3 linked regions of the Arabidopsis thaliana genome follow. The main gene of each other region encodes a partner of the protein of the gene in region 2 in a complex. Each region holds a gene or a part of one and is shown on either strand. Other genes may lie near its edges. The genes, in order: FUS5, COP13 and COP8.

Region 1 (9,463 bases), on a different chromosome or scaffold from region 2:
ATCCAGGTATTTGATTTCCTAGTGCCTAGGTGGTTATAGTGCAGAATTGTTATCCATTTACGTGCACCTAGAATAAATGAAATTAGAAGTTAATTTTGAAAACCTTCTCTAACTTTTGGAAATGGTTTCTGTGTTTTCCAATTGATGCCTATTTTCTTCTATCCAGTATGAATTCAATAACTAATGCAGATCTCATTGATTTTTCAGGCCGTAATTTCTGAAGTTCCTGAAATCATCCTCAGATGTATAAGCAGAGATGAAGCCGCTTTTGCTGTCGCTCAAAAAGCTTTCAAGGCTCTTTACGAGAATGCATCAAGTAACCTTCACGTCAGTGCTAACCTAGCAATACTTGTTGCTATCCGTGATGTTTGCAAGCGTGTTGTTAAAGAGCTCACTAGTTGGGTATGTTTACAACCTTTTCAAGATTTCACTTCGCTGATGTGCTTTGTTCAGTTACTTCTCCATTAATTTGTCACTATTTCTGTCAGAACACATAGGATAACACATATCATATAAGTGCTAGGTCGAGTCTGTTTCCTGTAGTTGGAGCCTATCCTCAACTGGTTATAGATACTAGATTTGTTTCTTTGGTATTTTTAGTTATAATTAATTATCTTTCTTCAAACTTTTGACACAGGTGATTTATTCAGAGGAGGATCGGAAGCTCAACAAAGATATTACTATTGGTCTTATCCAGCGTGAGTTGCTTAGCCTAGCGGAGTACAATGTCCACATGGCGAAGCATCTTGATGGAGGGAGAAACAGTATGCTGAATTGCTTAACCTTTGTTGATGTCCTTGTGTGGTAACATTCTTTTTTTGTTTTGGCTAGTGAACTTGTTTTAACAAGTTGTTTGTTACGCAGAGACCGCAACTGACTTTGCTATTTCTCTACTCCAATCCTTGGTCACTGAGGAGTCGAGTGTCATTTCAGAGCTCCACAGTCTTGTTGATGCGCTGGCAAAGGTTGCAATTTTAACATTCTTCTGCGTTTGTTGTTGCAGTCGCATATTCTTGTTCTATTATATAAAAAAACAGTTAATAGGTGTGAAAACATACAACTAGGGAAGGGATAGGTTCAATTTTTTTTTTTTGTGGTTAAATCTACTGCATAACACTGTTTATCATATAATGCCAACTGACAAGTATTGTGGTTAGGTTCAAATATTATGAAATTTGGCATTGTTATATTTGGTGACGCTGCAATTTGTATTCTTGTTTTGGTTGTAGCTTGCCTCAAAATCCGGATCTTCTGAGTCATTGCAACAGCTAATTGACATCATACGAAATCCAGTTACTAACACAGCTGGCCTCTCTGATAGTTCAACCGGAAATGATAACAACGATAGGCAAAAGGATGAGAAGGTGTCAGATGTCTTCATTACCGAATGTTGCCTGTAATCAGACTGTAAATGTATATTTGACATGTTAGCTTTTTCTTAGGTTGCGTGCAACACCACTAACACAGAAGAGAGTACCAGCTTGGATTATGTGGAATCAGATCCTGCGGGTTTCCAGAATCGGGTAATTGTCTGCATGTTATTAGCGTTTATGAACTTCTATATTGATTTAGAGCTCTACCTTTTCTTTTTTAAAAGTTGATTGGGAATTGCATATATCTAAATTTTTCACTTGCAAAAGAGTAAATCAAAAGCTAAAATGTTTGTATCAGCACAATGAATTTGCAAGCTACAAAAAGGATTTCAAAACAAACGTTTCTATGAAGCTATTTTCGTTCAGTATGCATGTTTTTTTCCTTATTTTTGTCTTGTAGATGGATTTTAAATTTTCACTTTAATTCGATGTATTTAGATACATGTGTTTGTAGTTTGTTATCTCTTCAGTTTTATGTTTGAACATACATCTCTCGTACTTCTTGTTTATATCTTGTTTTTGTCTTCCTCTGTATGGTTTGGCAGGTGTCCACGCTATTTAAAAACTGGTATCAAATCTGCGAACTTCCTGGTGCAAATGAAACCGCATGTTCACAATATGTCCTGCATTTGCACCAGACTGGATTACTTAAGGGAGATGATACAACAGAGAGTTTTTTCCGAATTCTTCTGGTGATTTTACCTTTTAAGAATGTTTTAGCATCAGCACTTTCAAATCTTGAGAGGCATCATTATTGATTTTGGCTTTCCTTTCTGTAGGAACTTTCTGTTGCTCATTGTATATCTTCTGAAGATATTAATTCCGGTGCTGTGCAATCTCCTCAGCAACCTCAGAGTCCATCATTCCTTATCATTGATATGTATGCAAAGCTTGTTTTTTCAATATTGAAGGTAGAGTGCTCATTTTTTTTTTTGCATTCTTCGTGGATAATTATACCCAAAATACATTGCCGGCTAAGCTTTTTTTGTTTTGTTTGTTTCTTATGACAATCTGTTCAGTATTTCCCTGAGCAGGAGTCTAGCAGTAGGTTATTTCTTCTTTCAGAGGTAAGGGGACACATACTCTTATTGGAAATAAATCTAACTTCTACTATAATGGATGGAAAAGGTGAGTGGTATTGATTACCTGTTTCAGATCATGGCTGACACAGTGAGATTTATTCAAAAGGACGCAGAAGATAAAAAGACATCACTCAATTCTAAACCATATTTCCGATTGTTCATCAACTGGCTACTGGACTTGTGTTCCCTGGATCCTGGGACGGATGGTGCAAACTTTCAGGTGCATTTTGTTGTCCTTGAAGTAGCTGCTATTAATTGTTATCACTTTAATTAATCTTTTGTTGCAGGTTCTCACAGCTTTTGCCAACGCCTTCCACGCATTGCAGCCTCTTAAGATTCCTGCTTTCAGGTTAGGACACAAACCTATTTCTCACCGTGCTTCTATTAAAACTTAAAAATTTGAATCTCTCAGGAAATTTGAGGGCAGTCAAATACCTATGTTGTCAAACATTTCATGTTGTTGACATATGTATCTTCTTTTCTTTGATCTGTGATCCGTGTTTTATACATTTTTTTTCTTCTCCACTGAGGTTTTTATAAATTTTTCCAGTTTTGCATGGCTAGAACTTGTCAGCCACAGAAGCTTCATGCCCAAACTACTTACAGTAAATGGCCAGAAGGGTTGGCCATATGTTCAGCGCCTGCTGGTGGACTTGCTTCAGTTTCTTGAGCCATTTTTAAGAAATGCTGAACTCGGAGGACCGGTTTGTGCCTTTTTCTCTTCTGTAATTGTTTTGCATTGGACACTAAAGGATATAGTCGATGGTAACTTAAAGTGGTCTCTTTTTTGGTGTGTTTATTAATTGCGTAGGTTCATTTCCTATACAAAGGGACATTGAGAGTATTACTGGTTCTGCTTCATGATTTCCCAGAGTTCCTATGTGATTATCATTTTACTTTCTGTGATGTGATTCCTTCAAGTTGCATACAAATGCGGAATATTATCCTCAGTTCTTTTCCACGGAACATGAGGCTTCCTGATCCTTCTACCCCAAATTTAAAGGTACGAGATGATAGTGGAGATTCCAGCATGTTCAACATATTTTAAAGAAAATATATTCCTTGTAGGCTGAATTATCGTGTTCATTGCAGATTGATTTGTTACCTGAGATAGTAGAAGCTCCCTGTATCCTTTCTGAGGTTGATGCTGCGCTAAAGGCAAAGCAAATGAAGAATGACGTGGATGAGTATCTTACGGTAATGGGAACACCTGATTCTTCAATTTACTTATATTCACTTTGGTATTCTTGAGATTATATCAAGAGATACTCATATAATTTTTCTGCAGTCGAGGCAGCAAAATTCAACTTTCCTAAGTGAGTTGAAGACAAAGTTACTTCTATCGTCCAGCGAGGCTAGTTCAGCTGGAACCCGTTACAGTGTACCATTGATCAACTCGCTTGTGCTATATACTGGAATGCAGGTATGGGTCTAATTTCTATACAGCCTTTTCTTTTGATTTCTAGTTTATTATATATATATATATGCAAATAACCGACATTGCGATAACAGGCTATTCAGCAGCTTCAGGCCGGTGAGACACAGGCTCAAAATGTTGTGGCCTTGCAGATGTTCAAGTATTTAAGTATGGAACTTGATACGGAAGGGCGGTATCTGTTCCTTAATGCAATCGCCAATCAGCTTCGATACCCCAACAACCACACTCATTACTTTTCTTTCATCATGCTCTATCTATTCTTCGAATCTGATCAGGTGAGTTTGCTTTGCTTGTCAAGAGTTGTGTGGAAAAATTAGTGAGCATGGAAATCTGATTTTTTTTTTCTTTTTCTTGGGATGAATGAAACAGGAGATCATACAGGAGCAAATAACTAGAGTGCTGTTGGAACGGCTAATTGTGAACAGGCCACATCCATGGGGACTTCTAATCACATTCATTGAGCTAATAAAGAACCCAAGATATAGCTTCTGGAAACAAGCCTTCATCAGATGTGCGCCTGAGATTGAGAAGCTGTTTGAATCGGTAGCCAGATCCTGTGGTGGCCTGAAGCCTGTCGACGAGGGAATGGTTTCGGGAGGTTGGGTCTCAGACAATTCTCACTAGCTCTTTAGCTTTCAACTTGTATATATGTATGCGTATTTTGATATTATGTTGTAACAATTATACATACAGTAGGAGAGATTTTAGGAGTCTTAGTTTATTTATTTAACTTCAAGATTCACAAACATGTTTTCTAATTACAAAAAAAAAAAACACTATTATTCCTTTATCCTTGCTCTTAAGGGTCTGTTTGAGAATTAGTTAGGTGAAAACATGTTTGAGAAATCGGCGGGGATTGTGTTTTCATGGTCATAAAACATGACCATAAACACTGAAAGAGATTATGATTATGCTGAGGGAGTGTGAGAAATCGGCAGGGATTGTCATCATATAGTACTAGACTACTAGTACTTTGTATAACGTTCTCAGGAACATGTTTCGGTCAGAATTCCGATGGTGGGATCTAGTCGATGACGTAATAAACAACACTTTCATGCCCGCCTAAGAGGCAGCTGTCGCAGACTAAGCAGGTTTCAACATGTGAGGGGCCAAGGCGCTGGCTAGTGGTCAAAAGACGGAACACTGAGAATATCTGTATCATTCCATATGATCCAAGCGCCTAGCTTTGCTCAAGTGTCAAGACTATTGATTACTGAATACTAAATTCAAAGCCATTTTTCTTTTAATGGGCAGAGAGACACCAAATTTGCTAATGAGGGAAATCAAACATAACAAGGGGTTATTGTGAGAGAGAACAGAGGATCTTATACAAGTTGAAAATCCGCAACCAAATAATCATAATCTACTCTCGGTAAATGGAATGTCAATCCGCACTGACCATTTGCTCTCTCTTGCTCCTCTACCTTGTTACAGGATGCCTCCTCCTGCGTTCCAAAGTTGAATGTGTGTATGTTATATCATCTCCTTTGTACTTATCATCTCACTCATATCTAATATTCGTTACCTCTTTGGTCGGATCCCATCTTCTTCGTAGTCCATCACTCCACTTGGTTCCCCAAACATCTCCTTATTCCCTCTGATGTCAACATCCCCCTGCCCACAACGTAAGTAAGACTATATCGACCACCACCCTTCCCAATCATATTTCAGACACAAAAAACCAAACGAACCTTGTTTCATTTCATTTAACAATCAGACAATAACCAAGTACTACCATTCCAAACAATTCATGTCCTCTAATGACTTTAACACTTCACTAACAGCCGTTGTGATTGCGTTCCTTGTTTGTTTTTAATTAAAGAAAACTTCATAATATATGTTTACATCCAACATGTAAGATTTCTTGTTCCACGAAAGAACGGTTAAAAAAGCCCGCCACAGTTGGCTGATCGATTCGTTTGTTATTAAGAAACATAACTTTTTAATCTATGATAGGACTGGACTTGGAAAGCTCAAAGACCTAGAAAGATTTTTTTATCAAGTCTCTCCCATCCCCGCTTACATAGACCTAAGCTATTAATAAGAAGAAACCCACTACAATTCTCTGAAGAAATATAAGACAGAATAGCTGACTGGACTCTAACTCATGGTCACAAGACAGTAACCAAGAAAGAATGTAACCAATATTAGTTACATAATATACTTAGTAGGGAAAAGTGAAGCCAATAGGACTCCAAGCGCGACTGACCTTCATGGACAGAGACTTCTTCACTTCTTCCACCCCTTCTTCTGCTTCCTTACGATGTTTTTTGTCCATCTCACTCATATTGTCCGCCCATTTGATCTTGTCTTGAATTGAAATGAGCAGATTCTCTGACGTGTTCAACCTAGACATCAATTTGGGCCAACACATAAAAGAGTAGGACGTCATTAGCCATGTATTCTAACATCACGTACAAGTTCTTATAATTAGATATAGAAGGCAAAAAATCCTGGATCTAAGGGAAGAAGAAAACTACCAGTTGGACAATGTGTGTAACATATTCCCTAGTTGACCTGGCCTTAGATCCCTACCAGCTGCAAACGGAACCTGCATGGTTGCAAGAGATATATGATGTTTAGAAGGGGGGGCTCGTACGTTTAGAAACAAAGCACAATGGTTAAAATAGGAAAAGGAGGCCCAAACCAAAACACACCTCAAAACATCTTTTTAACTGATCCAGTTTTCCCCTAACTATACCCTGCAAAGTGTAAAAGAAAAAAAATGAGCACCATGCGTTGTCACAGTTAGTTGTCAAATAGAGATTAGAAGACTGCTAAAGAGTACTCACCGCATACATGCATTCATTGATAAGAAAGTCCTCGAGTTCGCGAACATTGGAAACATCTAACTCGACCATTAGTGTATCATAGGGCAATACCTATAACAAGCAGAGTGAGAGAGACATTCAGTTAGGCAAACAGCAGGGGAAAAAGATAATGGAACAGAGTAGATAGCAGGAGCAAATCATGAACCTAAGACAAATATACCTTGTTAGACTCAGCAAGGGTGAGGACAGTGAGCTGCTTAAGCTTAAGAATTTGGTCAGGGGACAAGTGCGGAAGACGGGTGGCATTGCCTAGTGTTTCGATGAAAGCAAGTCAAGAGGAGAGAATATGACAAAAGGGAAAACGAATTGAAATAGCATATGACAAAGGGGTCATACATTTGTAGTCTCCCCAGGTGCCATGGGCAAACAAGCGTAGTAGATCCAGGTACACAGAATCTGTGGTTCCTTCAAGCTGCACAATTACGATTAATCAGCTACTAGTATCTATCAAGTTGTTATGATCAGCGAAGAACAAAAGCATGTAAAACCCTAGATCGTGAAAAGCATAAAGTAGTAGTACCTGGGCAACATTGGGTAGAGCCAAAATCTCGGAGAAGGCGAAGAGAGAAGGATGCGATGTGGCTTCGATGATGAGCGGGCCCAGAGCCTCGGATTTGCAAGTAGAAGCTCGCTTCACGAGCTGATCAATGATCTCGGCTTGCTTCTGCTCGATATCCATCTTCCAAACAAATCGATTTCCGGTGGTTTAGGGTTTTCTTTCTTACCACACTAATAACGAATAAAATCCCAAACTTCTTCTCTCTGCTCCTTCCTTCTTCCGTTTTTATATTACTGTTTTTTTTATGTGACCGACCGAATTCTTCTAGAATCTTGTTTAATAATTGGGCTCAAATTTCGTAGTTTCTGGGCCAAGGCCTACTAAGAGAAATATTAGAAACCGCGTCTGGTGAGCCCAAACAATCCCGGGGAAGAGAGAGACTATTGAATATTCTTCTTCCTTCATTTTGGCTGAGAGAGCGACGACGATGGCGGAATCTCGCAGCAACAGAGCGGCGGTTCAGGCTACTAACGACGATGCATCCGCCAGTAAATTGTACGCCTACCTCTTTCTCTCTTCTTTAATTAGGGCTCTTCTTTTTTTTTTGTTGTTGTTGTGGATCTTTGAGCCTAGATAATATTTTTAAAGGTCTTGTGTCAAAAAGGGATATATGAAAGACGACTATGTTCATCTCTTTGTGAAAAGACCTGTTCGAAGATCTCCCATCATTAATCGAGGTTACTTTTCCCGTTGGGCTGCCTTCCGAAAGCTTATGTCTCAGTTTCTTCTAAGCGGGACAAGTTCTAAGAAACAGATACTGTCTCTCGGAGCTGGCTTTGATACTACCTATTTTCAGTTGCTGGTGCGTCTTCTTTTTCTTCTCCTTTTTGTTAGCTTTTACCAAATTCACCATTCTTCGGCTTATTCCAGGGATCTCTCGCTTCTTCTCTTCTCATTTTGTAGGATGAGGGGAATGGGCCCAATCTCTATGTGGAACTTGATTTTAAGGAGGTACTACTGGATGAGCGTGCTGACAAAAGTATCCATCATGTGTTTTGAGTCTAATGCCTAAATGGATTTGCTTCTTACGTTAGGTGACTAGCAAGAAGGCTGCTGTTATACAAAACTCCAGCCAACTCAGGGACAAACTAGGAGCCAATGCATCTATTTCTATTGGTAAGAGCCTTTTTTCCCCCCATGTATTATTATGTAGAATGATCCTTTTCATTATGATGCATTTCAGCTTGTGCACTCATATTTTTCTTCATTCCGCTTCTACTAGCTACTAACTCAACCACCCCCTTTTACTTTGTACCGTTAGCGTCTAGTTTCAGTTGCTTACTCTTAACTCGTTGGGCTGTTTATCTCTACAGACGAAGGACAAGTTCTCAGTGATCATTACAAGTTACTTCCAGTTGACCTGCGCGATATACCAAAATTAAGAGATGTTATATCCTTTGCAGATATGGATCTAAGGTATCCATGAATAATTTTTATTTATTTTACACACTGTTATCTTGAACCTTCAACCCTCTTCTTCTACCCGGGTTTAAGATATATGGTAACAGATACTTACTGGTGATAGACCTACTTGATCCCTAATATCATTATCAGTCTGCCGACGTTTATTATTGCAGAATGTGTTTTGATTTATCTGGACCCCGATTCAAGCCGTGCCATCGTCAATTGGTCGTCAAAAACGTTTTCAACTGCAGTATTTTTCTTATATGAGCAGGTTAGCTCAACTGTGATTTTCCTTGTCTGCATAATATTGCAGATACGAATCTTATTGCTTATGTGTCTAACCCGTTGGGTTTCTGTTTGCAGATCCATCCAGATGATGCATTTGGGCATCAAATGATTAGAAATTTGGAGGTAAGAACGTGTACTCTACTACTCTAGTTACAGCGACATCTTCATTAGTAAAGCTTTTTTGAGATTTTTGTCAAAATATGGATACTAGTATGACACTAAAATATTCTAGTATTGCCACATGGGTTCATGTTGTACTGATCAATTACCTTCATTTAAACTTGTTCTGAAAGCTTAACGGTGTTTCTGTTCTTCAGAGTCGGGGATGTGCACTCTTAAGCATTGATGCATCACCAACTTTACTTGCAAAGGAGAGATTGTTTCTTGATAATGGATGGCAGGTTCGTTTTGCAGTTAGAATATTATGATTAAAGCAGGGCTAACTTTCATGTATAATTTCTGATATAAGGACTCTCATTTCTTTACCC
Region 2 (9,816 bases):
CAAAACCAAAATCAGACAGAACATCTCAAAGTAGACTTGTTGCCATGGGAAAGTCATACCTGAAATACTTGTTGGGATAATTTTCCGTTCCTTTGAGCAACCATTCTCTTGTCCTGGTATTGAGGATCCTCAGTGTTCAACGCTGCCTTGAATGTGTATGACGCATAAAACATGCAAACAGTGAGGAATTACATGAACACTACACTAGTGTTTACAGTAACGCAACAAAGTTTTGTAATTACCTCAACTATTACTCTATCATAAGGGTTATCCTCATCAACAAATCCATAGTTCAGAAGCAATTTCGCATTTGGTTGTGGCCCACACCTTCAAATAAAGGAGGAAATGCAAAAGTATGAAAAATAGATCAGAATGAAAAAGCTAGCTGTAGGAAGCAATTTGGCTTACAGACGCACCAGACAACTATAGGATCCCCGGCCTTATATGGCCTATCTACCACGAGTTCAACAGCACCATCAACAGCAGTAAGCATTGCCTTGCAGTTGGAACAATAGGCCAACAAGGGAGGACCAAGAGGAACCAAAGCAAACCGACGAGCCAAACCGACATTCTGAGTACAAGAAGAAGCATAACAATCTAAATTAGAAGAAGCAACAAGCACCACCTGACTACTTGCTTAAATGATGAGCTGCAAGCTAAACTTTAGATTCAGCGATAGAGTAATAGAGGTAAGACCATATTATTATATTTTACTCTAACTATTCTTTCAAATACAGAAAGACATTCAAGTTGTGAAAAGTAAACCCCAAAAGAATGAAAATTACTTGTAAATGCACCACACATGACTGAATGGCAACAAATGCCTGTTTGAAAATCTCAAATGAAAAAGCTTCAGTTGGTATGTCAAATGGGTATTGCTGCAAAACACAAATAAAATGGTGTAAGTCCGAGGCCGATGTTTAGCATTCCATATATTAAAATGACAAGAAGAAGCCGAAATCGTAGGTAGCCAAACACCTGAAACAAAGATCCAGCCATGAACCAGACAGTGTCAAGCTCATTGTATTCTCTTTTGATCCCTTCAGCCCTCTCAAGAACTTCGGCCTGAACCATGTTAAAGAAGTTAACCACTAAGAACCCACTATACTAGTTCATCACACGTCCGGCATATACTAACGCAATACCTTGGTAGGACTACCAGTTAGGTAATCTAACTCAGCCTCTGACCACAGCAAAGGGGATTCCGCATCTAACTGACCTCTTCCTCTTTGACGATCAAGTTCTCTTATATAGGGATACCATACTGATTTCTTTCCTTGTTTCTTCTCATACATCAAATACAAAGCTAGACAAGCCAGTTCGGATAATTTGTTCGTCGTCAACAGTTCAGCTGTGTGATAAAGAGAGTTTATATGGCTTCAGACAAGAATCAAAACACCCGTAATCCCACCCTTATCTAAGAGAAATCACAAAGTCTAATCCAAATATTATAGTGCATAACTGATGAAGTAGCTTTATGGAATAGGAAACATAATAGAGAATGTCTCATACCAATAGTCTCGTTTCCCAAAACTCTTTCCAGAGTAACCACCAGAGAATCAGGAACTGAAAACGCCACATCACCCTTCTGTAAAAGACAGGTAATTAGGAAAAATTTACCATCAAAACCCGGAAATTGATACTTGGAATACCCTATGGAACTGTGTATAAGCAAATAAAACTGTTGAAATGCTAAGTCAACCACCTGAAGATCCTCACTAGCAGCAACATAATGTATAGGTTTATGCTTCTGATCATGAGCTGGTCTCTCCTTGAGAATAACCTTGCAAGGTGGCAACCCATTCTTATCCATCCAAAACTTCAAATCCTCGGAGTCATCTCCTTCCTTCTTGCTCGATACTTTGCTCTGCCTCTCGTCTTCCTTTGGTGAACCGCTCGCGACTAAAGTATCTGAGCTCGAAACGCACAAGCTTCTTAGATGAACCGATCGCGATGAAGAGATCAATTTATTGTTCCTCCACCGAGGAAGTGAAGAAACCCTAGAAAGTGGGAAAGAACGAATTGGAAGAGAGACGCATTTCGTATGGAAACATGTGATAACCCCTTCCATCGGAATTATCAATTCCAAAATTCCGATTATGTCGAAACGTAAAGATTCTCCGGCGACGATTCTGAGGATTTTGCTCCGTTCTTCTTTTGCGTTTTCTCAGATTATTTTTTTCATTGAGGATAAGAGAGGGAAATGGAGAAATCAGGTTGAAAACGAAATGGGGAAGATGCGACATAAAAAATGAGTAAAGAAATAAAAATCTACGTGGCGCTTAGCGAGAATGGGCCTGAAACTAGCCCACCACAACAAGGAGTCTATCAGATTCCCCAAACGACACGCAGTTAAAAACGAGTTTGATACGACGCCGTTGAGACTTCTCTAACCCTTGCAAATGATAAAACGCTCGCGTAAGTTAGCACGAGAGATACACGCGCAAGGGGAAAATTTTTTAAGTAAAAGGGAAATAAAAGATTTGAGGGTCCATAATGGTCTTCTCTACTTGTTGGCAATTGTGACAAAAATATGAAACTTTTTAAACCAACAAAAATGAACAAAGAAATCAAAAGTAACATTCTCAAGATTCACACTACGGTTGTCTTTGAGCCAAGTTTTGTTGGTGCTTCTCGACTTTCGCTGTTTACATGGAGAACTTCTGAGGAACAGTATCGAAATCGTCTCCAAAGTCGTACCTTTGTCTTTCCCTTCCTACCTGAAAAAAAGTAGTCAAACGGCTTAGTCAGAGAAACATGGGTTTCCAGGACAGAAGACTAATGGAATATGGTATTAAATTACCTTTCCCAAGTATAAAGGGTCACATGATAAGCTCTCATCCATGGCTAAGAGATTCTTCGACAGACCAATAGTCCTGAAATTTTTATCAAAACACATAACTTGTTTGATGCTACTACTTTCCTTTGGCAAAACAGTCATCTCCATATCAACTTGATTCCAAGTGCTAATTATGCACTCCTTATTACGAGTTTCAACATTCAAGCAATGTTTCCCAAAAAAAAACCATATCAAAACACTTAGTTCTGTAGACATACCTTTGTATAACAGAATCCATGATCTCAATCATCTCACTAGATTTGTACTGCTCAGGGTCCTCCAAGAATCTGACCATCCCGTCTTTCTGGTTGATAAGGGCATGTATCTGACCATCCTGGATCTGCAGGTTTGTAAAGAAAAAAATGATATTGTCCAACATACCAGTTAAACTAATAAAGCTAGCTTCCAAAAATCAAGTGTGGGACACAATACCATCTGAAGCACATGCATTTCCGCCTCCTTAGCATTACCAAGTTGGACCATGTTGGCTATATCTTGAAGCGACAGGGTCAAGTACTTCTGTGTCAATCTCAGAATGTTACGCTTGTAAAGGGATGACACTGCTTGCTTAACTAATCCAAGGTTCTTATCCTGAAAGAGCATTTCGCCCAAGTTATGGAAGGGGATGAATATTTAATATTGGTACAGAAACTATGGTAAATGTTTAGAGGCAATTTACCTCTTCAAATTCTGCATTCCTGGCCACAACCAATGCCTCTAGTTCACCAATCTTCCCGTCGTTGTAACAATTACCCAGTTCAATGTAAGGCTGAGAAAAGGGTGAACGATAAAATCATAAGCCTGAAAATAGATTTAGCTGGTATGGAGTACAAAACAACTGAAATCTTTGGACTGAAGTGAAAAAGGGACCAGACTCCATTCAAACATGAAAAATACAACTAATGATCGGGTTCAAACTTACTCCGGTATAGTTCTTGAAGCTCCTCTGTGCTGCTGTAGAAGCACACTTGGGGAGAGTGTTAGTAAACTGCACAAGTAAAATCAAACAAGATTATAAGAAAAACATCATAAGATTAACCAATGCTTGAAATTAAAATCAGACACAGGATGTAATTGTGAAACCAACATTTCTCAAAAACATACAGTTGATTCAGACTCGTGCAATATGCTCCCATGACCGAAAACTAGATAAACAAAGAAAGTAAAATATAAAGAACACAGCCTTACCTGCCCATTGTGAATGAGAGACACCAATATGTACTTTTTGTACGCCTCAAGAGCTATGGCATTGACTTGATGCATAGGAGCAGTCACAACCTGATACAAGTACTTAGGTTGAGTTAAAACTAAAACGAAAGTCCTTAATGTATAAAAAGCACGTAAGAAAAAATAAAAATGCCTTACATTGTAAAGAAGCTCTAATGCTTTCTGAAATCTCTTCAGTCCAATACAAATCATTCCCCTATCAAAAGTCCAGGTAATCAAGGACCAGAATAAGAAAATACTATAAAACAAACCCAACAGGGATGGATTTAATGTGTTTACACATCTATTGATCAAAGGAAAAAAACAGATAGCAATGAGGAAAAATTGCTTACCCATAATAGCTATAGAGAAAAAAGTCTCTTGGCTGGTCAATCTCCACGATATCATCACTAAGAATGGAGAAACCAGATTTGTACGATTTCGCCTGCAAACAGAGTTGAAGAACATCTGGATGCAATGCAGTCAAACGCTTGGAGGAGACCTGAAGCTTCTGAACAGCGTTTAACAGTGGCCCTACTCCTCGCAACGGATCTCCCAGTGCTATAACATGGTCTTTCAATATCTTACAAAGAGATACAACTGCAAAATCAATATAATAACATCATCCATCTCCCCAAAGAAAAAAGAAAAGAAAACACATTAAGACAAGATAAGCTCTCATTAAGTGTCAGTAAATTACATTTATAGCTCGCCAAACGAATCTGCCCAGCATCACAAGAATTGATGAACCGTGCAATTATCGGTATCTCATAAGCAGCTTTCTCCTTCGACACTGGACCACAGGTAAGAACCTCACTGTAACAATCAAACCATACAAAAAACTCAAAGATCAGAAATCGAATAACATAGACAATTCTCCTTGTTAAACTTCGACCTAATCACACACATCAAGTTCCAATAACCAAAATCATCAATCAGCCTCAAAGTATACACAAACTAGTAACAAAAACCTAATCTACCAATAGGTTAAAACTCACAGGAAATACAGGTAACCGAGAGAGTGCTTCGAGGCGTCGAGCTGGTCAAGAGTAGAGAAATTAACACCTGGTTCGGCTCGGAGCGAGTCTTGAGCTCCTCTCAAAAGATCGTGAAGTGCAGATAAATCCTCTGGACTCCCCGATAAACCTTGGATTGACGTTATCACAGCCTCCACCGAGTTCACAGCTCCGATCATCTTCGATACTAAGACGAAAACACAAAAACCCTAATCGATCGCCCTTTTTCTCCCTCTCAAAATCTTTTGCTAAACTGTTTGTTTAATTATCTCTGGATCTTCTCCATAAAAATACATGCTCTCATAATATATATACGAACCCTCCGAACGGTTAAGAGTCTAATACATTACTCTAGAATAATAAACCAATATCTAACCGGCTTTTAAACCAAATATTCCCGGTTCGAAATGTACCAGATGGTAATTGTCGGTTTAGCCAGACCAATTTCGGGGATGGCCTTTTATCATTCGTCTTTCCAGAGAAAGAACGAGATTGCGATCACAGAGTGTCAAAGCAATCTGCTTTTTCTCCTCTCAGATTCAAAGGTTCTCTTTGAAGCTTCGTAGGTGGTTATACTTTGATGGCGGATTATCATTTCGTGTATAAGGACATTGAAGGAGCGTCAACTCAATGGGATGATATCCAGCGGAAATTGGGGAATCTACCGGAGAAGGCTCCGGCTTTCAAACCTCCGGCGTATACTCCGGCGGAAGACGAGTCTTCAGCTCCTAAGGATCAGGCATGGTTTGATAAGAAGACAGAGGAGGAGCTTGAGGATCTTGAGGACGACAAAGATCTCGACGATGATCGCTTTCTCGAAGAATACAGGTTCGTAGATCGAATCGAACATTCTGATTTTTGTATTTACAATCTTAACTTTCCCTGGAGAATCCTTGCCTTGGTGGATTGTGAATTCAATTTTCTCGGATCTGTTGCCATGTAGCTAGGGAATGCAATTATCAAGCTCTGGTTTTTCTCGATTCGTTTGTGTTTTGGATATGAATGCAATTGAGGGTAGTATCTTATTTGAGATGTTGATGAATAGGCTAAACATAATTGTGCAACACACTTCATGATTCACAGGCACTAATGTGTTTTGATGCTTTCATAGGAAGAAGAGGTTGTCTGAGCTAAGAGAGGCTGCTAAAGTTAAAAGATATGGAACAGTGACTCCCATCTCGGGCTCTGATTTCGTGAGGGAGGTTACGCAAGCTTCTGCTGAAGATTGGGTTGTTGTATGTCTCTATAAAGATGGGTATGTTTTTTCAAGTATTCGTGAACTCTTGTTGAGCCATTCTTTACTACATGCTTGAAACACTATTAACTCATGTTTATTTCTTGTTGTTCTCTGATAGTGTTGCAGAATGTAGTTTGCTATTGGGTTGTCTAGACGAATTGGGTAGTAGATACCCAGCAACAAAGTTCGTTAAGATAATATCTACTGATTGTATTCCGAACTACCCTGATTGCAATCTTCCTACCTTGCTGGTGTACCACCATGGCGCCATCAAAGGAACTCATGTAGGCTTAAAGAGCTTTGGCCGTAGGTGCACCCCAGAGAGTAAGTTTGAATGAACCCTTGTTTGTCTGATGTAATCTGTGCTTATTTGTGTTTGATGATTATGTCATGTCTCATCTCTAGCCTTTGTCTGATCTGAGACCTGATGTGACCACATTGGCGATTGTATCATGCTTTGAGCAGATTGGTCTTAGGCACATGTCTAACATACTTGCAACTGATTTGGTTTTTCAGGTGTAGCCTTACTTCTGTGTCAATCAGAGCCAGTTCTTAACGATGGCAAAGGAGGAGACGATGACTCCTCGAGGGAAGCTGTGATGGCTGGAGTTCGAAGACAGTTCATAGAACGAGTGGTGAAGGACCACGAAGATAAGGATAACGATGATGGTGGTTACAATAGTGATTAGAACTTCAAAGCTTCTCTGTTTATCTCTGTTGGTTATTGCTTGTTGAGTTGGTGACTGGTAAACAAAAGTGCTGACTTCTTGTGTGATGTAATGTTTTTTAAACATTTTGTAACTTTTGTTCTTTTGAAAGAGACAGGAACTTCATGTTGTTTTTTGATATCCAGGTATCACATGCCGAATTTTAGTGCTGGATCTAAGCCTGTGAATCCATGTAAGTTTAGAATAGTCTTTGTTTTGGACAAAGTAATAATCAAATTTGGAGAATCTCAAATCAACTGAGATGTTTTAGTTTTCATTCATGTGCAACTCGAACTACTTCACAGTTCACAAATATACTGCAGATACCAAACCCAAGAACTATAAACATCCCCAACACAATAGAAGCACACTACCTTCAAAATGAAGCTCCCTTTCTCAAAACTTCTTTATATACATACATAAACAACACTAATTCTGAGTCTGAGTTCTTCCACAAATTGTCTCTCTGGTCACAAGTCGTATTCCCCTCACCCACATCTCTGCACACACCAACCCACCTTCACACACAAAATGAACCTCCTTGTTTTCCGTAGTCACTACCCGGAAAATCCCTTCCTCCTCCGCTCCATCGCCTTTCCCCTTACGGTTCTTCCTGAACCGCTGGCTCATCCCGATCTCTACTTCCTTGCACACCACAGTCCTCTTCCGTGACTTTCCCCAACTTAGTACTCCACTTGATTCCAACATTCTCAATCCTTTCCCATGCTTCTTTCCTTTCCCTCCCTTGGTGTGTTTCATCACACTGCTTCCTTCTATCACAAACCTCCGAGACAACTCATTACGGATCACCTTCTCCGCATCACCAGTCGCGAGATCCAGCAGCTTTTCCCCTCTTCCGTTCTTAGCATTGCAGTTTGCGCCACAGGAGATTAGGTATTCACACATATGTCCATGGCCCTCTCTGGCTGCAAGCATGAGCGGAGTGTAGCCATCTCCATCCGGGATGTCTAGACTGTATCCTTTTCCACTCAAAAGCTTCACTGCTTTGACGTCTCCACGCCGTGCAGCACAGTGTAAAGCATAAAACCCGCCTGCCATGTTTCTGCTGTCCTTCTCGAGAGCAAACTCGAGCATCACCTTCTCTATCACGTCACGGTTACCGTTCTGTTCAGACAGAGAGACTACCGTGTCGCCAGAGTTGTTATACAGCTTCACGTCTGCGCCTGCGTAGACTAAGACTCTAAATGCTTCAACGTGGCCATTCATGGCCGCTAGCATTGCAGCCGAAAAGCCTTCCTCATCTTGATAGTCTAGGTAGATGTCTTGAGCTTTTACAAGCGCTTTAAGCGCCTCAGCATCTCCTGCTTGAGCCCCATATAGCAAAGGCGAGAATACTGAAGCGTTGCTTGAATGTGGAACAACACCGAACCGGATCAGCTCAAGAATTACTCGCTCTAATCCAAGAGACCACTTGTTTGACTCAGCGATCGAAACAGCAGAATGACCAAACTTGTTCACTAAACCGAAATCAGCACCATCAAGGGCGAGAACCTTGACGCACTCTGGATGTTTGTGTTTTATTGAGATCAACAGGGCTGTGTTCCCTACATCATTCTTCGAGTTTATATCGCAGCCAAAGCCAACGAGTTGTTGTATGATCTCCACTGATCCGTCACGTGCAGCAATATGAATCGGTCTGAGTTCAATGCCTCGTGAAGTTTTGATAGGAGCTTCTGGATCGGCGCCACAGTCAAGGAGGACACTGACGGCTGCCTTGTTGCCACAGAGGACAGCATGGTGTAGAAGAGTCCGACCGTTGTGAAGAGCGTTTGGAGACTGGAGTTTGAGCAACAAACGCAAAATGTCGCCACTAGTTTCAAAGTATTCTACAGCACACCAGGTTAAAGGATAGGGCTCAGCCACTCCAGCTCCCACCCGAAACTCTTCTCCAGTGTTAGTATCCCATGACCATGCTCCAAGCCTCACCATGATATCTGTCTTGACGCCAGCCTGTGCATATCATTGAAAGAAAAGCTTTGATGTCTTAGATACATACTCTCTCCTTGCAGGGAACAAGTTTTCAATTTTGCAGAGCCAAAATTACCTGTAGTAGGACGCGGACAGCAGAGACTTGCCTATTGACAATGGCAGCAACAAGAGCTGTACAGTCTACATTTGTGTAAAGAGAAGGTTTCGAAGATTGAAGAAGAAGCCTATCGGTTGAATTAGCATCTACACCACACTGTAATGAAGCAAAAACATGAAGAATTATCTACTGTAAGATGGCTATTGAACAATTCTAACCGGTCACTTTTAAAACCACAAGAAATGAAGAACTTACTTTGAGCAAGGTCCCTACGACGTCCACAAAACCCCTGCAACAAGCAGTGGCGAGAGCATGCACAGCAACCTGAGGCCGAATAAGATCAGTTCCCATAAGCAGCTCAACGAACCTCGAGCGTCCGTGACAGCTCGCCCCTACTAGAGCTTCTTCACAAGCGGGCTGAGAAGCACCAGCTTTGAGTAGAATCTCAAAGACATCGAAATGACCTTCCCTTACAGCAACAGTTGTTGCAAATCCCCTGAAGAGCTTCTGGTTCACATCAGCTCCAATGTTCTGTGAGATGATATTACAGGAAAAGTCAGATCAGTGTTATAAAATTAGAAAATATTTTCTTAAGCTACTACACTGCTAAGTGCGAAGGACACCACGTGAGGTGAAAATCCAGAGGCAGAAGAAGACAAAAGAAACTGTGTATAATAGTAAAGTTGTACAATAATGCAAAGTGAATAATTGAAAATGGATCTACATGAACATTAGGGAACAACCCTGACACAGAGGAGCATGGC
Region 3 (10,554 bases), about 13 Mb from region 2:
AAATAGTAAAAGCATTCCATATTTGAAGCACTTTTGGAAATTGAGACACAATGTTTCCACAAGTCATCACTCTTCTTCAAGTATTCTCTTTCGTGGGCAATTAACATGGGTTTATCTGCAATATATTTAATAAGCGTATCGTGACACATTTTTCCTTCTTTGACGAGATCCTTGCAACAAGGGTCAGGCATGGTTCCATTTTCAAACACAGCAGCGATTATATCCAAAGCACACTTAGGAGTGATTTTAACAAAACAAGTATTCCATAATAATGTTGCTTCAGCTTCTTCGACTGAGAAAGCCGGAACAAACGCACACACCAAAGCTAAAACAATGAACAATGTAGTAATCTGAGTGTTAAATTTAGACATATCTACTTATGGTTGAAATATACAAGAAATATTCTTATTTTACTAAAGAAATCGTAAGAAAGAATGATTAGTATTTGTTATTTAAAAAATGGGGTAATCTAACTTTTATATAGGAAATCAAAATCACAACGTAACTTCTAAAAAAACCAAAAAAGATTAACGTTATATTTAATGGCAATTAAAATTTTGACAAATAAATATACTACCAAACTTAAATTTAATAGTTTCTATTAACGTTGCAAAATTAAACAAAAAAAAACCCTAAATACATGTAACAATATCCAATTCAATAGATAGAAGAAAGCAATGGTTAACTTTTTTATATTTTGATATCTAACACCAAATAGTTAATGGGTATAAGGTTCAAATTGACATATTTTATGGTATTCAGCCAAATAAATTTTAATTTCAAACTATTTTAAGTATAAAATAAATTTATTTTTAAAAATATAAGAAACATAACTCACATTGTATCTAAAACGTATTATTTATTTTTAAAAACTTTTTTTCTAATAATAATTTTAATCGAAAGACTAATAAATGTTAGTAAAAATGTATTCGAGATTTAACTTATTGAAAGGATTTCAAAGTTTCTCTAGACTAAATTTAAAAATATTAAGTATAAGGTTCACAAGAGCAAATAAATAAATTTAAAATATTAAATATAGTTTTGCTATAAATCTGTTGAGAATATAACTATCAAATAACATATTATTTGAACTTGCACATGAGCTCAAACTTATAGCAAATATATACCGATCAATAGAATTAAGATCAAATCTTTGATGAAAAGATCGAACTTTTGATGATTCCATCAGGACTCCAATTCGCAAAAGTGCTACTTCGCACACGTGCCAACTCGCACAAGTGCCACTTCACACACGTGCCAACTCGCACATGCGAACGAAGAACACGCAACGGAGAATAATAAACACCGTCAGCTTTTATCGTCATTTTTCGCCGCTCTCACCGAACCTCTGCTTTCTCTCTCTCTCTCTCTCTCTCTCTCTCTCTCTCTCTCTCTCTCTCTCTCTATCTCTACTGTGCGAAAATGGCGATGAAGGCTTCTATCAAAGGCAAGTACGATACTGACAAAACCAGTGGAATCGGTTCACTTGCTTTCAACGCCGGCGATATTAAGCTACGCGCCACCATGACCGATGCTACTCTCGTCGCCGGTCCTACTTTGACCGGTCTCGCTCTCGCTGTAGAGAAGCCTGGTTCCTTCATCGTCGAGTACAACGTCCCTAAAAAGGTCAGAACAACTCTTTTGATTTGAGTCAAAGCAAACAAATCTTAGAAATTTTTCAATTCCCATGGAAATGAGATTGATTGCTTACGATTAAACCTAGGATTCAAGTCAAAGCAAACAAACCTAGAAATTACGCAGCTAATGCTTGAATTGAAGTAGGATTTAGGATTCTGGAGTTTAGGGTTTTTAGATTCTCCACAAGTTTAAAGAGATTTGCAGGCAGACATTTAAGAATCTATGTGCTTAACTATGTTGGTGATTTTGGTTTACAGGATGTTAGGTTTCAGTTCATGAACACAGTAAGAATTGCAGAGAAGCCTTTGAATTTGACTTACATTCATAGCAGAGCTGATAACAGAACAATTGTCGATGGGAGCCTTGTGATTGATTCTGCAAACAAACTCTCTGCTAACCACATGGTTGGGACAAACAACTGTAAGATTAAGTATACCTATGCTCATGGAGGGTTAGCTACGTTCGAGCCGTGTTATGACTTGGCGAAAAATACATGGGATTTTGCGGTTTCTCGAAGATTTTATAGTGGTGATAATGTGAGGGCAACTTATCAGACGTCTAGTAAGTTGTTGGGTATGGAATGGTCAAGGAACAACAAAGCAAGTGGATTCAAGGTAAGAAAGAACATTTTCAGTCGAAAGTTCATATCGTTTACTATATTTTGATGACAATCTTAGTTCTTTAAAGTTAAACGGTGATATCAGTGACTTAAACCTGGTAGAAATAGAATTGATTTGATAGATGAAACTGCTACCTACATGGGATGCATAGCTTCTTGACAATAAGGCATCATCTTTGGGTTAGGATAGTTCATGTATTCTTTGCTGCATCATAATCAGTAATTTTAGATTGTTCTGTGTATTGGCAATCATATTTAGACATTGGATTTGCTTTCTTTTGAGCAACAACTATGTCGTGAAGAAGCTTTACCGCTTTACGAACTTTAGAAATTCCATGTGTTTTGGTCGTTGATGGGCTTTATTTTCTTGTTTCAACAGGTATGTGCGTCTGTGAATCTTGCGGATGAACTGAAAACGCCGAAATTGACCGCAGAAACTACATGGAACCTTGAAATGTAGTCTCTTCTTTACACTACTTAGCTAAGTTTCACTTCAATTGTTTGGTGTTGCAACACATTTTACTAGTCGGTTCTTGCGAATCTTCCGAAATTTTGTTGCAACAGTTTCTCATTATTATTACTAGCAGTTTCGTCTGTTATCATTGATCATTTCTTAAATTCGCATAAGTTTTGATCGTTCAAGAATAAAAATTAAACAACGAATGGGAAAATGTTATATGTAACTACTAGTTTCATCTGAGAAATCATGAGGGGAAAATGTTGTGGCTGGGACTTCGTGCAATCCCGAGAGTTCAGACAGTGTTGGAAGTGGAACTTGAAGCTATGAGATGGGCAGCTCTTTCAATGTCAAGATTTAACTATAAGAAAGTCATCTTTGAATCAGATTCCCAACATCTAGTGTCTCTGTTAGGGGATGATACTGATTATCCAAATTTGGCCCCAAGAATTCAGGACATTAGACATATATTCCAACAATTTGAGGAGGTGAAGGTGATGCATATAAAGCGTGAAGGAAACAGTGTGGCAGATAGAATTGCTAGGGAATCTCTTTCTTTATTGAATTATGATCCTAAAATGTATTCTAAAGGTGCCGGCTTGGATAAAAGATTGTGTGTATTCAGACTCTGTGTAATCACCGTTTGGTAAATGAGAAGTTGTTGTTGAGCCAAAAAAAAAAAAAAAACTACTAGTTTCATCATTCTCTTGCACAAGAAAGGTTCATCTATGCATAAAATAATTTGTTCTGAGGTAAAAATGTACCCTGAACCTCTTTTCAACTTTCTTAAAAATCCTCATTCAATGCCTAATCTTTTCCTCTCTGAATCAATTAACCTAAAGACATAGACATGAATTTGCAAGAAAGTAAATAAGGTGAAAATGACTGTCCCCAAAACACAGCAATTTGGCAAAAACTTTGGCATGAGACTCGATCCGTTGCTCGGCTAATACAAATTAATCATCATGAGGCGATCTCACGGCTTGGGAGTCAATCAGACAGGAACAGACATGCCTTTCTTGGCCATCCCATCCAGAATGTCATTGAGAGCTTGGCATAATCCCGATATCTGCACAGATTCCACTTTTCAGTCATATTCCACGCCAATAAAACAAACAATCATATATAGTTGCTCTAAAGAGACAAAGAGTGGGAGGGAGAGATAGAAAACCTGTTGATCCCATTGTTGTAGTTCCTCCACGTCATCCTCAAAATGAATCACAGCCTCCTCCTGAACAGTAACATAAAATATTAAAACACGTCTAGGAACCTCCTTCTAGAAAATCAACACTAACGAGAATTCTCTTCAGGGCTCTTACATAGCTCAACCAACAAAGTATTTTTTATTGCTTACCTGATCTATGGAACCCCTCATTCGGTCTTGCCCAATCATATTAGCTGCTATCTTCTCCGCTTTTCTTGGATCAATCGCCAACAGAGTTCCCAATTCATCAAACCTAGGATATAAAATAGTTGAGAAAATCAAACAAGTCTAGACACACAAAGAAGATACTAATTCGACATCTCATACCTTATGTTTGTGTAGAGTTTGCTTGCACTAAGAAGGTTATGCTCAATCATAGCACGGTCAAGAACAGTGGATTTGTCAGGCAAAGATGCTTTCTGTTGAAATCAACAGTGTAATAACTTGTTATGAACCTACTTACCAACTCAGATGTTATCCAAAAACTACATCTAAATCTTAATTCACAGTCCATACCTGATGTGGCCTTAGTTCTTCTGAAAAGGCATCAATCTCTGGTCTCCTTAAAATCCTTTCCAGATACACCTATAAAGTTGCATTAAAAAACAAAAAGTTACCATGCATTTCTAACCAAGCCTCTATAAGCTATGGTGAACTTGTTTGATTTGATAATGAATCAAATCTAATAAACATCATGCCGGCTTAAACAAGAGTAATATGTGAGTTCAAACAATACTATATGTCCAATAGCATGAAAATGTATGTTTGTCTACTAGAGGAAACAGTTGTAGGTAATAAGAGATAGAACCTTCTGCAGGATAGGATAAATCTTCAGCTTGGAGCAACGCTCATCCTGTTAATAGAAAGATATTGAGAAATAAAAAACAATAAATAAGCAAGCAGGAAAGTATTCTATTTGTAATCCAAAAGGGAATTACTTTGTATAAAGTTGCAAGAACACGAGAACGCTGAGGACCAGCTCCAGCTAATATGGTACATGTGACAGCAGCTGATAGGGCCTGCTCTAAAGCATTCTCATCAATCTCTCTGAAAAGATTAGAAAACACATTATAACCGTTTCAGAATATGAGATATCACAAAGGTATTGGAGAGAGAAAAGAGGAACACTATTCAATCACAGAGAGGGGAAAAGTAGGAAACTAGCTTTAAATACAGAGTCTCCAAAGATGGATAGAAGATTAATTAATCATTATTCCATCCGAACAAGAAACCAACAGAGGAGAATTTGAAGAAAAGATGTAGCAGAAAGATAAGTCAGTTCACTTACTCATCCCCTATTTGGCGTTGCTCAATCTGAGATATGCCGTAATACCGAAGTGCAGCCTCTAAAAACTTTCTTTTCATGTCCAAAATTCTAGCATAGCAGACCTGAAACAGAAATATATTAAAACTTGAAAACGAATGCTCCTTAATCACCCAGCACATAAATTCTTAGTTTACTTTAAGGTGGTCCAACCTTGTACTGCAAATTCAAAACTTCATTCTGACTATTGCTCACTAAGAAAGAAGCTTTATTTATAAAAGCCTCTGCATTTACAGCATCATCATCCTGAAAATTTCAAAACACAAAAGTATTAGAGAACAATAAAAATTTAACTAAATGTATTTATACAACTCTGCTAGCCTCAATTTACTCTCACAAGCAATAAATAAAAAAGTGATGTAGTGAAGCAGAATAATGCTCTTAACAGTCGATATTCCTAATTTCATGACACTTAGATTTGGTCAAGAGACTTAACTTTAAATAAAATCTCTCTAGAAAAATGTCCAAATATTTGAAGATTGAATCAACATTCAACAACGGGTTTCTTTTGTGCTTTTAAGATCTAACTTCTGTAACTGATTGACACGCACCCACAGAAGGAAACAAGACAAACTAGCTATAAATCATTACTGCGATGCGTAAATTCATCTCATAAACAGAGATAACCGATTTACATGCTTAAAAATTAATGAAAAGGACACAGAATCTATTGTGCATATGTACATGAAAGGGAAAGACAAACCTCGAGATACAAACGAGCAATTTGGATACACTTTGAAAGCTTGAAGTTGTCGTCAACGGCCCTAATAAAGAATTCCGCAAATCCAAAATAAGCAACACAAAAGAACATAGAGAGGAAACTAAAACAAAATTCTGCTCAATGCCACACACCTCATTCCAGAATCCAGATCAATTCCACTCAACATCTGTGCTGCTTTTGACCATTCCTGCTCTGATTCATACAAACCCGCAAGTTTTTCTCTGATAACAAGTGCCTGCAAATACACCACAAACAGTTTCATCTCTTAGAATAAAGAGATTGAAAAACAACACAACGTACATTGTCTCAGTTATCCCAAAATACAGCATCCTTAGTAAACAAATATCTCAAATTAGCTTTCAGTGTAGATTTCACATACCAAAGCGGTACAATAGCAAAGCGACTCTACATACCTCTCAACTTATGTTAAGTAGGTAAACTAATTAGGGTTTAAAAAGTACACGATTGCTGCTAAACAGTAAGGTATCACGAAGAGAAAACAAACCTGTTCCTCAAAGGAAACAACTCTAGGCTGAATCTGGGTAAGAGTAAATTGAGCAATCTCCTTCTGCGTCTCCGGTTCTAATCTCCCAAGCTCTTGTGCGAAAGACTGCAAAAGCTGCCTCGAAACCACCAACGGGACATCATCGGAAAGAACTGGAAAAATTGTGAGGAAGCAAAAATCAAAATCAAACCAGAAATTCTGATATAAACCGAATTCCATAAGAACAAAAAGCAGTTGTCGAATCTCTTATGAAGTTGAAACCATGAGAAAGAAGGGAGATGCGAAATTACTGTGATCGATGAATCTCTGAGCTTGGAGAAGATCGTTGGAAGAGAGAACAGAGGAGAGGATGAGTTTGTACTGTTCGATTTTCTGGCGTTGGTCACCGATTGCAGAAGCGTTCGTCAAAGCTTCATCCATGGCTTCTCTTCTGAGATTTTCTCTCCCGCTTCGATTGAAACCCTAAGAAACCTTACAAGGTTTTGATTTCTCTCTCGCTTTTTTTTTTTTTTTTTTTGGAGTTTGCTCTCTTTTTATATTAAAAAAATAAACGGGGACTAGATTCTGTGCCGGTGATCGGAGAGGCGCTTTACAAAATTTACTTAATATGGTCACAACTCATATGAGATTAGTACCCAAAATAAATTAAAATATATATATATATATATTAAGCATAAATACTATATTTTTTTTTGTTAGTTCATAAATTTTATAATTAATTTGTGATGGTAAGTTTACCAAATTGATTGTAGATTAAAAAAAAAAATCAACAAATAATATATTGTTTAGAAATATTTTTATATGTGAGCCTAAATTACTACAGTAAATCTTTTACACAAATAAAAAAACACGTCGTGATTTGGAAAACACGATGATGAGGTATTTTATGATGACAATACCACGTTTAATATTATGATACCAGATCGGAAAAAGATGATATGTTATGTGTTTTAGAGCTTAGGGAGCAATTTAAGATGGAAACGTAAATAATTATTTGTTGAGAAAGAATCGACTAGAAGCAATCGAAAAATTGATCGAATGGTCAAGATATGACCGAGAAGTCATCGGAAAAGTTGTGAGCCCAAATCTTGAGAGCAATGACATGCAAAATGTTTTGAAAGTGCTCTCATGAATTAAAAGTGAAAAAAGAACCACTCTCTCGTTACATAGAGGGTAGTATATAAAGAAATTTACCTATCTCAGACTAGGAAACCAAGTCTCGCATTGGAATACGACTTTGGTTTAAACATGTGAGCTGACTGACAAATCGATTTTATGTGCTTTACAACTTAGATATAACTGAACATATTGGTATTGGATGAGGTTGGACGATAGACTCATAGACACAATCGTTGTCTCGAAAAATCACGAGTTTCTCTCGCTTAAAGGATTTTTTTTGATGAAGTTTATGGTGATCCCGTTCGAGAACATCACAATTGTTTTTGAATCAACTTTACAGATCCATATTGTAACTAATGATTATAGACTACATAGTTTACCAAAATTACATTTACTCAAAAGAACAGATGCGGTTGTTGATGGCAAAACTTTTTTGGAATGGTAGACATCCCATTGAAAGAAAACAAATTGCCATGGTATGGAATTCATGATAATGATTTAACTCGTTATAGTCTGGACAAATTGTCATGGTAGGGTTTCATTGCTCTTTCTTTGGGTAGTTACCTCAAGATATCTCTTTGTTCTTCCTTGTGATAGTTCCACCTTGATATGTACAACCCCACATTAATCTGCTCATTTCAACATTAATTTTCTCTATTGTTTTTAAATTGTGTGTATAAGATTATTTCACTAACTAGGAAAACAATCCATTTCTTTGACACATGGGCTTTACTTAAACAAAAGCCCAATAACTTGTGTTTAGAAGTCACATGATCAAATCTCAAGACCTATTATAAATTAACAAATTTCATATTGATAAATTTTAAAAGATTTCCTATTACAATATTTAAAGTTGCTACAAATTATAGATTCTTTTGATCTTTTCTGATATTGTTTCTCAAATAAAATATAGGAATACCAAATTACAATATGAAAGTTGCTTCAAATTATAGATTCTTTTCTGATTTTGTTTCTCAAATAAAATATAGGACTGAACTACCAAAGGCAATAATATTCAATGTGACCAACAAAAAAAAAATAAAAAATAAAAAGAAATACTCAAATCTCATAACCTTTTTGACTAAATATATCAATTTCTTCTATTTTCAATGAGCATAAATTACACGCGTCCTCAGAAGCTGAATCCGATTTGCAATTCTTCAATCTCAACCGTTAGATCAACAAATCCGGCATCGAATTCCTCCGCGTGGTTTGGTCCATTTTTTTAATTTGAGTATTAATTCTTTTCCTATTTGACAACATGTTTTATTAATTATTATTATTATTCCATTTGCATTAAAATATAATAAAAAGATGTAAGATTCTCTCCGCCTCCTTCTCTCTATAAGAACCGACACAGAGACGAAGAAGAATAATCACTCGAAAACTCATCAAATCAAAAATCAAACACAGAGAAGAGAAAATGGCCGCAGAAGGAGAAGTTATCGCTTGCCACACCGTTGAAGATTGGACCGAGAAGCTCAAAGCCGCCAACGAATCCAAGAAACTGGTAAAAACTCTCGATCTAAGGTTTTAAATGTTTCTTTCTGATTGATTTCGCTGCTTTATCGTTTCTGATCTTGGTCCTTTTGATTAGAATATGACGGATTCAGAATTAGGTTTGAATTGTCCCCAATCGAATTTTTGAGCTCCTTAATGTCAAATTTATGAACCCTAATAGTTTAATTGATTGTTTAGGAACCCAGAATCTCAGAAATTGAAACCCTAAGAACTTGATAGAAGCATCATTGGATAAAAACATGTTATGTGAATCTCTCAACTATGCATATTCAATTTTATGAATCATCTGCTAGAGATCACATGAAAATTGTCTTTAGTGAACCCATTTTGTATCTATGTTTGTATTATTATCCATGTTCTGTGAAGCACATGAAATGCATACATTTGTTATCTTAATGATGAACCGATGTCGTATCTATTGTTTGAATTATCGATCGGTGTAGCTTGTTTTCTTAAATATGGTTGTGTGGAAATGACACAGATTGTGATAGACTTCACTGCAACATGGTGCCCACCTTGCCGTTTCATTGCACCCGTCTTTGCTGACTTAGCCAAGAAGCACCTCGACGTAGTCTTCTTCAAGGTCGATGTTGACGAATTGAACGTGAGTTTCCTTCATCAATCTTACACTATCCCAATATCCAAACTTAGGGATTTTTGACTTCTCTGAGCCTTTATCTTGCTTGTTATGTTGTTGTGCAGACTGTTGCTGAGGAGTTTAAAGTTCAGGCAATGCCAACGTTTATCTTCATGAAAGAAGGAGAGATCAAGGAGACTGTGGTTGGTGCTGCTAAAGAAGAAATCATTGCCAATCTCGAGAAGCACAAGACAGTTGTTGCTGCTGCTTGATTTGCTTTTCTCTCTTACCTATTTTGCTAAAATATGTTTGGTGTTTTAATAAATCCTTTGTTCGCCCGAGTCTTTTCACCTTAAATGTGCTCTTATGTGTGGTGGTGAATAAATGTTGTTGCAAACTTGATTACTCGCAGCTATGCTAATTGTTCGTTCATGGTTATGTTTACTCTTTGGGGATTCTATTGTTATGTTAGTTTTTCAATTTTCAATTACATTACACCAACTAGTTATCAATCCAATTACATTGCCAAATACAATTTCGTTTTGCCTAAACTCTCCATGGTTTTTCACTTCAGAAAGGACAAAAGCACAAGGTGTTAATTCAGACACTGAAACATTTCAGATGTCATTTATACATAATGATCCGTTACAGAAAAAAAAGTGGGAGGCCATGAGGAATTTCAATTAGTATTATCAGTCTTGGGAAATTATATAAACCTCTTTTGTAACTGAAAGGAGAGACATCTTACGGTCGTCATCATTAAACCTTGTCGTCATGGAACCACCACCTTGTCTCTTTAGGAGACCTCCCGTTCTTGCAGTTCTTCACATATCGATCGTTATCAGTCGGGCGTTGCTGATATTGTCATC

What was found.
Region 1: COP13 (region 2) and FUS5 share a complex: the UniProt entries of both Arabidopsis thaliana proteins name them as parts of the CSN complex.
Region 3: COP13 (region 2) and COP8 share a complex: the UniProt entries of both Arabidopsis thaliana proteins name them as parts of the CSN complex.

What each region holds. Positions count from the first base shown.
Region 1 is NC_003070.9:382,166-391,628, forward strand, and holds FUS5 (Proteasome component (PCI) domain protein), read right to left. Parts: upstream 7,644-9,463; 5' UTR 7,404-7,643; coding exon 7,245-7,403; intron 7,137-7,244; coding exon 7,061-7,136; intron 6,974-7,060; coding exon 6,885-6,973; intron 6,776-6,884; coding exon 6,686-6,775; intron 6,596-6,685; coding exon 6,551-6,595; intron 6,445-6,550; coding exon 6,374-6,444; intron 6,242-6,373; coding exon 6,103-6,241; coding exon of another isoform or gene 6,058-6,102; exon of another isoform or gene 5,508-6,057; coding exon 5,419-5,507; intron 5,339-5,418; coding exon 5,314-5,338; 3' UTR 5,112-5,313; downstream 1-5,111. Other genes in the region: AT1G02080 (transcription regulator), read left to right, coding at 1-6, 208-402, 638-764, 865-965, 1,230-1,364, 1,443-1,523, 1,919-2,065, 2,153-2,284 and 9 more; SBI1 (Leucine carboxyl methyltransferase), read left to right, coding at 7,711-7,778, 7,872-8,085, 8,187-8,234, 8,318-8,399, 8,597-8,699, 8,838-8,958, 9,051-9,098, 9,293-9,376. UniProt on the Arabidopsis thaliana protein: Component of the COP9 signalosome complex (CSN), a complex involved in various cellular and developmental processes such as photomorphogenesis and auxin and jasmonate responses.
Region 2 is NC_003076.8:4,593,394-4,603,209, reverse strand, and holds COP13 (Proteasome component (PCI) domain protein), read right to left. Parts: upstream 5,343-9,816; 5' UTR 5,241-5,342; coding exon 5,044-5,240; intron 4,862-5,043; coding exon 4,746-4,861; intron 4,646-4,745; coding exon 4,399-4,645; intron 4,263-4,398; coding exon 4,205-4,262; intron 4,118-4,204; coding exon 4,028-4,117; intron 3,828-4,027; coding exon 3,762-3,827; intron 3,609-3,761; coding exon 3,519-3,608; intron 3,431-3,518; coding exon 3,272-3,430; coding exon of another isoform or gene 3,224-3,271; exon of another isoform or gene 3,180-3,223; coding exon 3,058-3,179; intron 2,877-3,057; coding exon 2,804-2,876; intron 2,721-2,803; coding exon 2,649-2,720; 3' UTR 2,375-2,648; downstream 1-2,374. Other genes in the region: AT5G14260 (Rubisco methyltransferase family protein), read right to left, coding at 60-146, 243-327, 417-571, 786-878, 979-1,065, 1,146-1,351, 1,513-1,588, 1,706-2,071; AT5G14240 (Thioredoxin superfamily protein), read left to right, coding at 5,642-5,889, 6,173-6,316, 6,417-6,622, 6,815-6,987; AT5G14230 (ankyrin), read right to left, coding at 7,435-8,976, 9,071-9,208, 9,308-9,583. UniProt on the Arabidopsis thaliana protein: Component of the COP9 signalosome complex (CSN), a complex involved in various cellular and developmental processes such as photomorphogenesis and auxin and jasmonate responses.
Region 3 is NC_003076.8:17,233,762-17,244,315, forward strand, and holds COP8 (Proteasome component (PCI) domain protein), read right to left. Parts: upstream 7,056-10,554; 5' UTR 6,889-7,055; coding exon 6,759-6,888; intron 6,621-6,758; coding exon 6,469-6,620; intron 6,199-6,468; coding exon 6,095-6,198; intron 6,007-6,094; coding exon 5,946-6,006; intron 5,489-5,945; coding exon 5,396-5,488; intron 5,308-5,395; coding exon 5,207-5,307; intron 4,966-5,206; coding exon 4,857-4,965; intron 4,772-4,856; coding exon 4,727-4,771; intron 4,504-4,726; coding exon 4,435-4,503; intron 4,338-4,434; coding exon 4,246-4,337; intron 4,172-4,245; coding exon 4,069-4,171; intron 3,946-4,068; coding exon 3,886-3,945; intron 3,784-3,885; coding exon 3,709-3,783; 3' UTR 3,392-3,708; downstream 1-3,391. Other genes in the region: AT5G42957 (inhibitor/lipid-transfer protein/seed storage 2S albumin superfamily protein (DUF784)), read right to left, coding at 32-371; AT5G42960 (outer envelope pore 24B-like protein), read left to right, coding at 1,423-1,626, 1,896-2,252, 2,637-2,717; AT5G42965 (Polynucleotidyl transferase, ribonuclease H-like superfamily protein), read left to right, coding at 2,975-3,364; TRX3 (thioredoxin 3), read left to right, coding at 9,011-9,097, 9,590-9,712, 9,811-9,957; UBC18 (ubiquitin-conjugating enzyme 18), read right to left, coding at 10,445-10,540. UniProt on the Arabidopsis thaliana protein: Component of the COP9 signalosome complex (CSN), a complex involved in various cellular and developmental processes such as photomorphogenesis and auxin and jasmonate responses.